Linked DNA regions of Cricetulus griseus. The protein of the gene in region 2 purifies or fractionates together with the protein of the main gene of each other region. This does not show direct contact. Links are inferred from orthologs where the notes say so. Each region holds a gene or a part of one and is shown on either strand. Other genes may lie near its edges. The genes, in order: Atf1 and Atf2.

Region 1 (4,525 bases), on a different chromosome or scaffold from region 2:
GATTTATGTGTGCTCAGTGGCCAGCAGAGATGTCATGGACCAACAGCAAGTATCAAATACAGTATTTTAACAATATTGTGCTAAGTTTGGGGTCAGGGAGCCACTCCTCATCTCCATGACTTACCTTGAGGCTTTCATTCATGTGATTTCCTATACTACAAACACAATTTATTCCCCTTCCTCCTGAGGACTTCTAAGACTTCTTCCAGGCAAACCTACAGGATGACCTCCCCTCAACTAGTCTAGAAGCTGACTGTATATCCTGGTATGTTTTTCCTTCCCTTCAAGACAGGGTTTCTCTATAGCTTTGGCTGTCCTACAACTTGCTCGTAGACCAAACTGGCCTTTTTATTCCTTTTTCTCTCTCTCCACCAGAAAGGAAGTTAAGTACATCCCTTCCCTACACAGCACAATCTTCACATTTAACACTGTAACAAAACCACCTGCTCACTTAGATGTATCTAATTAGAACTGAGGAAATAATGGCACTCCACCCCAGGTACAGAAACAGGGCAACTGAGGCACAGGAAAACTTGAGACATAATCCTATGTGAGAACTGGAAATTCACTGAACTCATGTCAGGGTTTGTTTTGTTTTGTTTTGACATGACAACCATCTTCTGGTGCTATTTACTATCACAGTCCTGTAGACCAAACAATCAAGAACTACACACACTATTTAGGAGCTGTCACATTCAAGTTTAGGATATCCAGTTTCCTGATTTGTTTCCAAGTGCGGAGTATAAAGCATGCTAGGCAAACACTCTTCCACTTAGCTACAATCTAATGGAGATGAAACTCTATGTGTAGACCGTAAAGTGGGGCAACTAGCATTTTAAACAAAACATCTACTGACAACCAACTTCTGGGATAAATGTATTTTGCGATCATAAATCCTATACAAACTTATCACAGGTGAGGCCAATTTTAAAAGATTCCTACTACATCTATGCTGTCAAGAGGCCCTTGAAGACTAGGGTCCGAATGCTTTTCAAGGCAGGACTGCTGGGGGTTCTAGGCCAAACTGAACCACAAAGAATTTAAGACCAGTTGGGAACACAGTATGAGGCCAGACAAGCTAACACTAGGCTGTAGAGATGGCTCAGCGGTTAAGAGCCCTTTCTGCTCTTACACAGGACCAGTTCCCAGCACCCACTGTAGGGAAAAGGGACAGCCAAAGAAACACACTTTGGTCCCTGGAATAAGAGCCAGTGAAAGAAATACACCCTGGACCTAAAATTAGAGCCAAACGACTAAAAAGGACCAGTGAAAGAAACACACTTTGGCCCCGAAACCAGAGACAAATTTGACCCTGAACCTGTGCAGAAAACTAACCAATCCCTGAGCAGGACATCTAGCCAATATGAGCTCAGAGATAGAAATCTGACCAATCCCCATCCTGGAAAAACTTGGGGGGGGGGGCGCTAAAAAGCCTTATATAAACCCTGTGTCTGTTGAGCTTGTGGCTATGGCAGAGGGCAGCCATTCTCCTGGATTCGTCCTTCCTAATAAACCTCTTGAATGAGGGTTGGATGAGACCTTCCTTCCCTGGAATGGAGCAGAAGTTAACAACTTTTTCCTGGAGCAGGGCTGTAAGCTGCTACGCTTACTGTGACCTGTGGTATTCTTTGGCTCCGGATTGCCAGAATATTTTTCCATCCGATCTGAACAGCCACAATGCTTAGAACCACACAACCTCTAATTGCAGTTCAGATCTGACAACCTCTGGTCTCTTCAGTCACTTGCACGCAGGCGGTGAATGTAACCTTACGAAGGTAGCAGAGGGACAAAAGGCGTCTGCAACATACCTCGTAATAAATAGATCTTTTTGTTCGTCGTCCCCATCCCCCGCCTCAGACGGGGTTTTCTCTTTGAGTAGCCTTGGCTGTCGTGGAACTCGTTGTGGCCTCAAATTCAGAGATCCGCCTGCCTCTGCATCCCAAGTCGGGAGGCAGAGGCAGGCGGATCTCTGTGAGTTCGGGGCCAACCTGGTCTATAGAGCGAGTTCCAGGACAAGCTCCAAAGGTACAGAGAAACCCTGTCTCGAAAAAAACAAACACACACAAAAGCTACCATAAAGGCGAATACGTCTAGAAGCCCTGCACCAGTAACTCTACTTAACAAATCCCGCCTCAAAAATAGAAAGAGCAGCTACCGAGACACTGAGTTTTCTACTACAACTTAAGCGGCCAGCTGGGAGACACCCGGAAGAACGGCAAAGCACCGCGTCCCGCCGCAAGGCGGGTGGCCTCGGTTTCCCCGTGGTCGAGGTAGCGGGGGGAGCCTGAGGACCCGGTGCCTGCAGCCTGGTGCGGGCCGCCCCCGGCTCTTCCTCCCGCCTACGCGCCCGGAGACGCGGCGTGGGCCGAGAGAGTCGCGGCCGAGAGCTTGGCGGAACTCGCGGCTCCTGTTTCCCGCGAGCCCAACGCTCGCGCAGCGCTCGGCCGGGAGGCGCGCGGCCGGAAGCGCGCGGCCCGTCCCACCCCCGCGCCCCTCCCCCACCGGCCAGCCGCGCGCGACCCCCGGCCAGCGCGTGGCCGCCACCGCGTCCCTCCCCGCCGTCACCGCGCTCCCGTTCGGGCCGCCCCGCTCCCCGCCGCCCCCACTTACCTGCGGAGCCGCCTGGCCGCTGCCCGGGGCGGGAACTTCCACTCCCCCGTCCCAGGCGGCGCCGACTTCGCTCTTCGCGTCGCAGCCGCAGACGGCGGCGGGCTGGCGCTTCTCCCTGGGGTCGGCGGGGCGGAGAGAAGCGGGGTAACGAGAGCCAACCGTCCCGGGTTACCGTTTCCCGGCCGCGAGGGGCGTCTCTGGCGGCATGATCGGCGGCAGCCAGGGGGCTGGGGAGGGAGGGAGGGGCGGGGCCTGCGTGGGCCGGCGTGCTGCGTCATCGCGTGCTCACGTGGCACGCCGCCATCTTGGCGAGCCTCGGGAGCGAGCGCGCGGGTGGCGTGTGCTCGCTCGGGAAACCGAGCGCTTTCGCTGGTGCTGCTCGCCCGCCCTCCAGCTGGAGCTCAGCTACTTGCTCTAAGCGTTCTGGCGGCGTTGAGGTCCATGACCTTGACCAGCACTGCTCCGTACGCTGCGAGGCTAAGGAACGTTGGGAAGCTTTTATTTGATTTTTTTTTCCAGTCCTCGGGATAGCATCATAGGAGCTGTGGGCGGAGGTGGAGGCAGCAGGATCAAAGGGAACGTGGGGCCTGGGAAGATCAGTAGTAGAGCACTTCGCTAGTATGGATGAGGGCCTGGGCTTGCTTCCCTAGCAAGAAGTTTAAAGTTGTCTTTTTTTTTTTTTTTTTTTTTTTTGGTTTTTCAAGACAGGGTTTCTCTGTGGCTTTGGAGGCTGTCCTGGAACTAGCTCTTGTAGACCAGGTTGGTCTCGAACTCACAGAGATCGGCCTGCCTCTGCCTCCCAAGTGGCGTGCGCCACCAACGCCCGGCTTAAAGTTGTCCTATTAAGAGGCTGTTTTAGGCTGAGCGGTGGTGGCGCACGCCTTTAATCCCAGCACTTGGGAGGCAGAGACAACCTGGACTATAGAGTGAGTTCCAAGACCGCCAAAGCTACACAGAGCAACCCTGTCTAGAAAAACCAAAAACAAGGACAAAAAAGTAGATAAAGTAAAAAACTGTGTGCCATTAAAATGGGACGTGCCGAAGCAGACTTCTCCCAACCATGTGGTTGCTGAGAATTTAACTCAGGACCTCTGGAAGAACAGTCACTGCTCTTAACTGGCATCTCTCCAGCCCTTTCCCAGCGGGGTGCCCAGAGGGCATGTGGGTGCTAGGAATAGTTCTGCAAGGACAAGTTCTCTGAATAGCGGAGCTGTCTCTCCACCTACTCTTGCTTTGTGTTTGTTTTTCTCTGGTAGGTGGCCTTCCCATCCTAAATGCCTGTTTGCCCAACCCCTCATCATTCCTAGTTAGTAATTAAATGGATGTAACACATGTGAGTCTCCTTATTCTTACCCGAGTTGTGCTTGAAAGATGGTTTGGTGGTTTAGAGCATGCACTGCTCTCACAGAGGCTCTCAGTTCAGTTCCCAGCACCCACCTAAGGTGCCTTACAACCCCCTTAATTCCAGCTCCAGAGGAGTCACACACACACACACACACATATATAATTATATATATATAATTTAAAGGTTCACATATCCACATCATAGCAATTCTAATGACTCAGTTCCCAAAATATACAGCATGTTGAGACAGGGTCTCACATAACGCAGCAGGCTAGATTGAACTGGGTATGTAGCTGAGGACAAACTTGAACTCCTGATCCTACTGCTTCTGCTTCCCTGGTGCTAGGATCTAAGCGTGCATCACCATGCCCACTTGTCAGGTCAGACATGGTAAGGTAACTTTCACCTCTAATCCCAGAACTTCAGAGGCTGAGGCAGTAGGATCATGATGTGTTTTGAGGCCAGCCTGGGCTATATGAAAAAAAAAAAAATAGATCTAACCTAAGTTCAGATGATGTCCTCCAGCTGGTCCTTCCTGTCTCTGCATCTCCCTGAAGGCACAGACTTCAT
Region 2 (3,568 bases):
AAAGGCCGTGGGTTATGTATTATAAATGTTGCCTAATGCATCCCCAGCTCTGTTATTTGTTATGAATTTGTATGTGACGGACAAAATTGGCTATTTACTCAGGAGTAACAGCTGGTTCCAACACTGCATCTTGTGAAGAAGGACATTAGAGAAAGGAAAAAGCACAATTAACCTCCACAAAGCTGGAAACAGAAGAATCTCATGGAGGGGGAGGCACATTTAGAAGAAAATTCATAAGCAAATAATTTCAATACTGTTCTGTTTTAGTATTTTTATGACTAATGTGACAGTACCACATAAAACTTACAAGCACACAGACATTGTCCAATGCTGACATTATCTATAAAAGAACAATAGGATAGGATACTATAAATGGAGAGTATATGGTTGAATGAAGATAGTGGATTAAAAAATTCTCATCATTACTAAATGGGGGCAGCAAAGGAAAAACTGGCTCTGTCAATTCAGGATGTGTCAACATATGACAATAAATGATCACTGATATTAAACAGTGTACTTAAAAATGTTTAGTTAACAACTTATGATCCATACTAATGCCTAGAAAAAAGCTAAAAACAGGAAAACTTTTCTTCTTCTTACCCCAGACTATAATAATCTTGCAGAAACCCTGATATTTAATCTTAAGTTCTACCACTGCAGTCTGCACTTTTGTACTGGTAGTACTGCTCACTCTGGCAGTCTGTCACTGATACAGCCTACAGCTGTAGGTAATGGAACATTACTCACTGTGATAGCCAGACTTCTTCTGCATGGCGGTTACAGGGCAATCTTTATGAGCCAGAAGAAGCTGTTTCAGCTGTGCCACTTCATTTCTCAGCAGGGTGACTTCGCTCTGGAGAAGAAACAGCTCATATGCCTTACCAGCATTAGATAAAACTTATTTTACTATTTAAAGAAAGCAAAGCTTAAGGCATGAAAAGTCTATCTTTTTGGCAGAACACTAAGGGACATGTACTATTTAAATAAATTTAATCAATATCCATCAGTTTTGTGTCTTAGCATTTATACTAAGTTTTTAGTGTAGAGAGCTGAAACCATATCAATACCATAACTGTGCATCCTAGCTCACCATTGCCATGGAACCCTTATGCACTGAGGGTCTTTACATGTTATATGCACTTCTGATTATTTGAAAACTTGAAAGGTCAATAATTTGGATGAATTTTCAATGATTCCATTGAAAAAGTTCATCCTGGAAATGTAATTAAGCAAGTTTATATAGTTTAGAAACAAAGAAATTACATTTATTCAAGAAAACTTGCTGAGCACTATGCAGGGTACCAGAACCAATGAAAGTGGATGTACTGTTAAATGTATTTGTTGCCTGTGATACACACATCTAAAATAAATTCATCTAATTTAAGAAATTAGTGATCATTTACCAACACTCATGACTTAGAAATACTATGGATTTAATAAATTAGCATTAAAAATTCACTATAAATGTTTCTTCTTATCCGGATTTACATGAACTCTAATCATCTAGGTTTTACCCATGAACCCCAAAGTATTAATAAGTGAGAATATTCAGCACACTGGCATACATAAAATTGCAGGCACATAATCCACCAACACCTCTCTTTTTGAGGCAGGGTATCATTGCATCCCAGGCTGGCCTCTAAACCAGAGCAATCCTCCTGCCCTAGGCCTGAGTGCTGGGATTACTATTAAGTGTTTACCACCAAACCCAGCCTCTACTCTACCTCTTAAACCAGAAAGCTGAATGTGAACTACTTTAGCAGATTAGTCGTATTAGGCCTTCCTAAGTGACTGATGACAAAAACAAAATCATGAGAACAAAAGTTAAGCAATCTGAAAAATGACTGTGCAAATAGTCTTCTACACCCCTATAACACTGGCAACAGCGTACTAAAGCACAGAACAAAACTTTATGCTAGTATAACCCTAATCAGTAAAAGGTTAACGTAAATTTAGAATACTTTATTTAAGAATAGTAGTGGGGGCTGGAGAGATATTTCAGTAGTTAAGAGCACTGGCTACTCTTTCAGATGATTAGAGTTCAATTGCAGTTCCAGGGGATCAAACCTCTCTCTCTCTCTCTCTCTCTCTCTCTCTCTCTCTCTCTCTCTCTCTCTCTCTGACAAAACACACACACACACACTCACACACACAATGACAAAACAACAATGCACCAGGCATTGGTGGCGCACACCTTTAGTTACAGCACTCGGGAGGCAGAGGCAGGTGGATCTCTGTGAATTTGAGACCAGCCTGGTCGTTCCAGGACAGCCTTCAAAGCCACAGAGAAACCCTGTCTTGAAAACAACAACAACAACAACAAAAAACCCAAAAACCAAACCAAAACAAAAGTGCAACTAAAAATTTAGAGGAATGGGTGGCTATAGATTCCTCTCCAATAAATATGACTTCACTAGCACTGAGTAGGTAACTGGGTTTTTCAGTATCAGACACGGTCTCCCTCTTGTTAAGTGGGTCTTAAATCCAATCAAAGAGCTACTGGTTACCATCATGGTATGCCCCTATTGCACCATTAGGTTAACTGTGTTATGCTGATCACTGATGTGGTTTCTAGGTGTCATAGCTGGATTAAGACTGTTGATTGCTTCCCTGCTTTGGAAGCATGTATGGCACCTTCTGGTACCATGAAAGCTAGTCTTCAGGGAAGCAGCATTTAGGTCAGTTCCAGCTCAGGGGTCTCTGGGCCCTAGCTCTGAAGTTCAGTGTCTTAGCAATAGGGACTTACCTTCCACCTCTTGGGGGTGAGAGGGAGTGACCAAGTGCAACAGCAATAGACTGTATGTTTTGTGAGTCTCTTGGAAAGCCCTGGACAATAACTAAAAAGAGGGTATATCATGTCTGGTATTGGCAATGGTTTTTAGTTCTTGGAGGAAGTTTTGTTCACTCAGATGAGAAAGGTTCATTAAAACTATGTATGCATATAAAAACAAAAAAAAACTATATTCATACACAGAGTATATAGTTTTGGGGGATTATTTTTTAAAAAAATAGTTAATAGTTTAATTGCTTGTAGCTTTTCCAGACATCCTTATCGTTATTTTACCTACCTCTCTCCTTTTGTATTGACTGTCCTCCCAATTCCTAAAGAGCTGCCCTTTCCCACTTCCCACATCAGACCACTTGAATACTGCTATCCTCCTCTATTCCCCCTCCACCTCTTCTGTATTTCTCTCCCTGCCTCTCCCAAAGGAGCCCCTCCCTTTTCCCATATCCCTGATCAGACTGCTTATACCCTCCCAAACCTCCCTCACCCATAAAGTCTCACCAAGATGACTGTCTAAATGTTAGCGGAACAAGAATGACATCAGTGAACATGCCAAACATGAATGGAGAAAAGACCCCGCCCCTACCTCCCCTTAACTGTACACAAAGAACTACCGGCAACTAAAGAAAACTGGGAATGGGAGAGATGGTGTTCCTAAGGAAAGAACATACCAGTTGTCTGTCCAGTATCAATGACTCACCCTTAAAAACATACATATAGGTAGCATTACATAGACTCAACAGGTTATATTTAGAAACATACATATATGCAATAACAATTAGT

Evidence for each region.
Region 1: the proteins of Atf2 (region 2) and Atf1 purify together in Homo sapiens (affinity purification with mass spectrometry; 3 studies listed by BioGRID and IntAct, with this or other methods). This does not show direct contact. The link is inferred for Cricetulus griseus from reciprocal best matches to the Homo sapiens genes ATF2 and ATF1.

What each region holds. Positions count from the first base shown.
Region 1 is NC_048595.1:396,707,605-396,712,129, reverse strand, and holds the start of Atf1 (cyclic AMP-dependent transcription factor ATF-1), read right to left. Parts: upstream 2,865-4,525; 5' UTR 2,611-2,864; intron 1-2,610.
Region 2 is NC_048599.1:101,318,621-101,322,188, reverse strand, and holds the end of Atf2 (cyclic AMP-dependent transcription factor ATF-2), read right to left. Parts: intron 854-3,568; coding exon 740-853; downstream 1-739. UniProt on the Homo sapiens protein: Transcriptional activator which regulates the transcription of various genes, including those involved in anti-apoptosis, cell growth, and DNA damage response.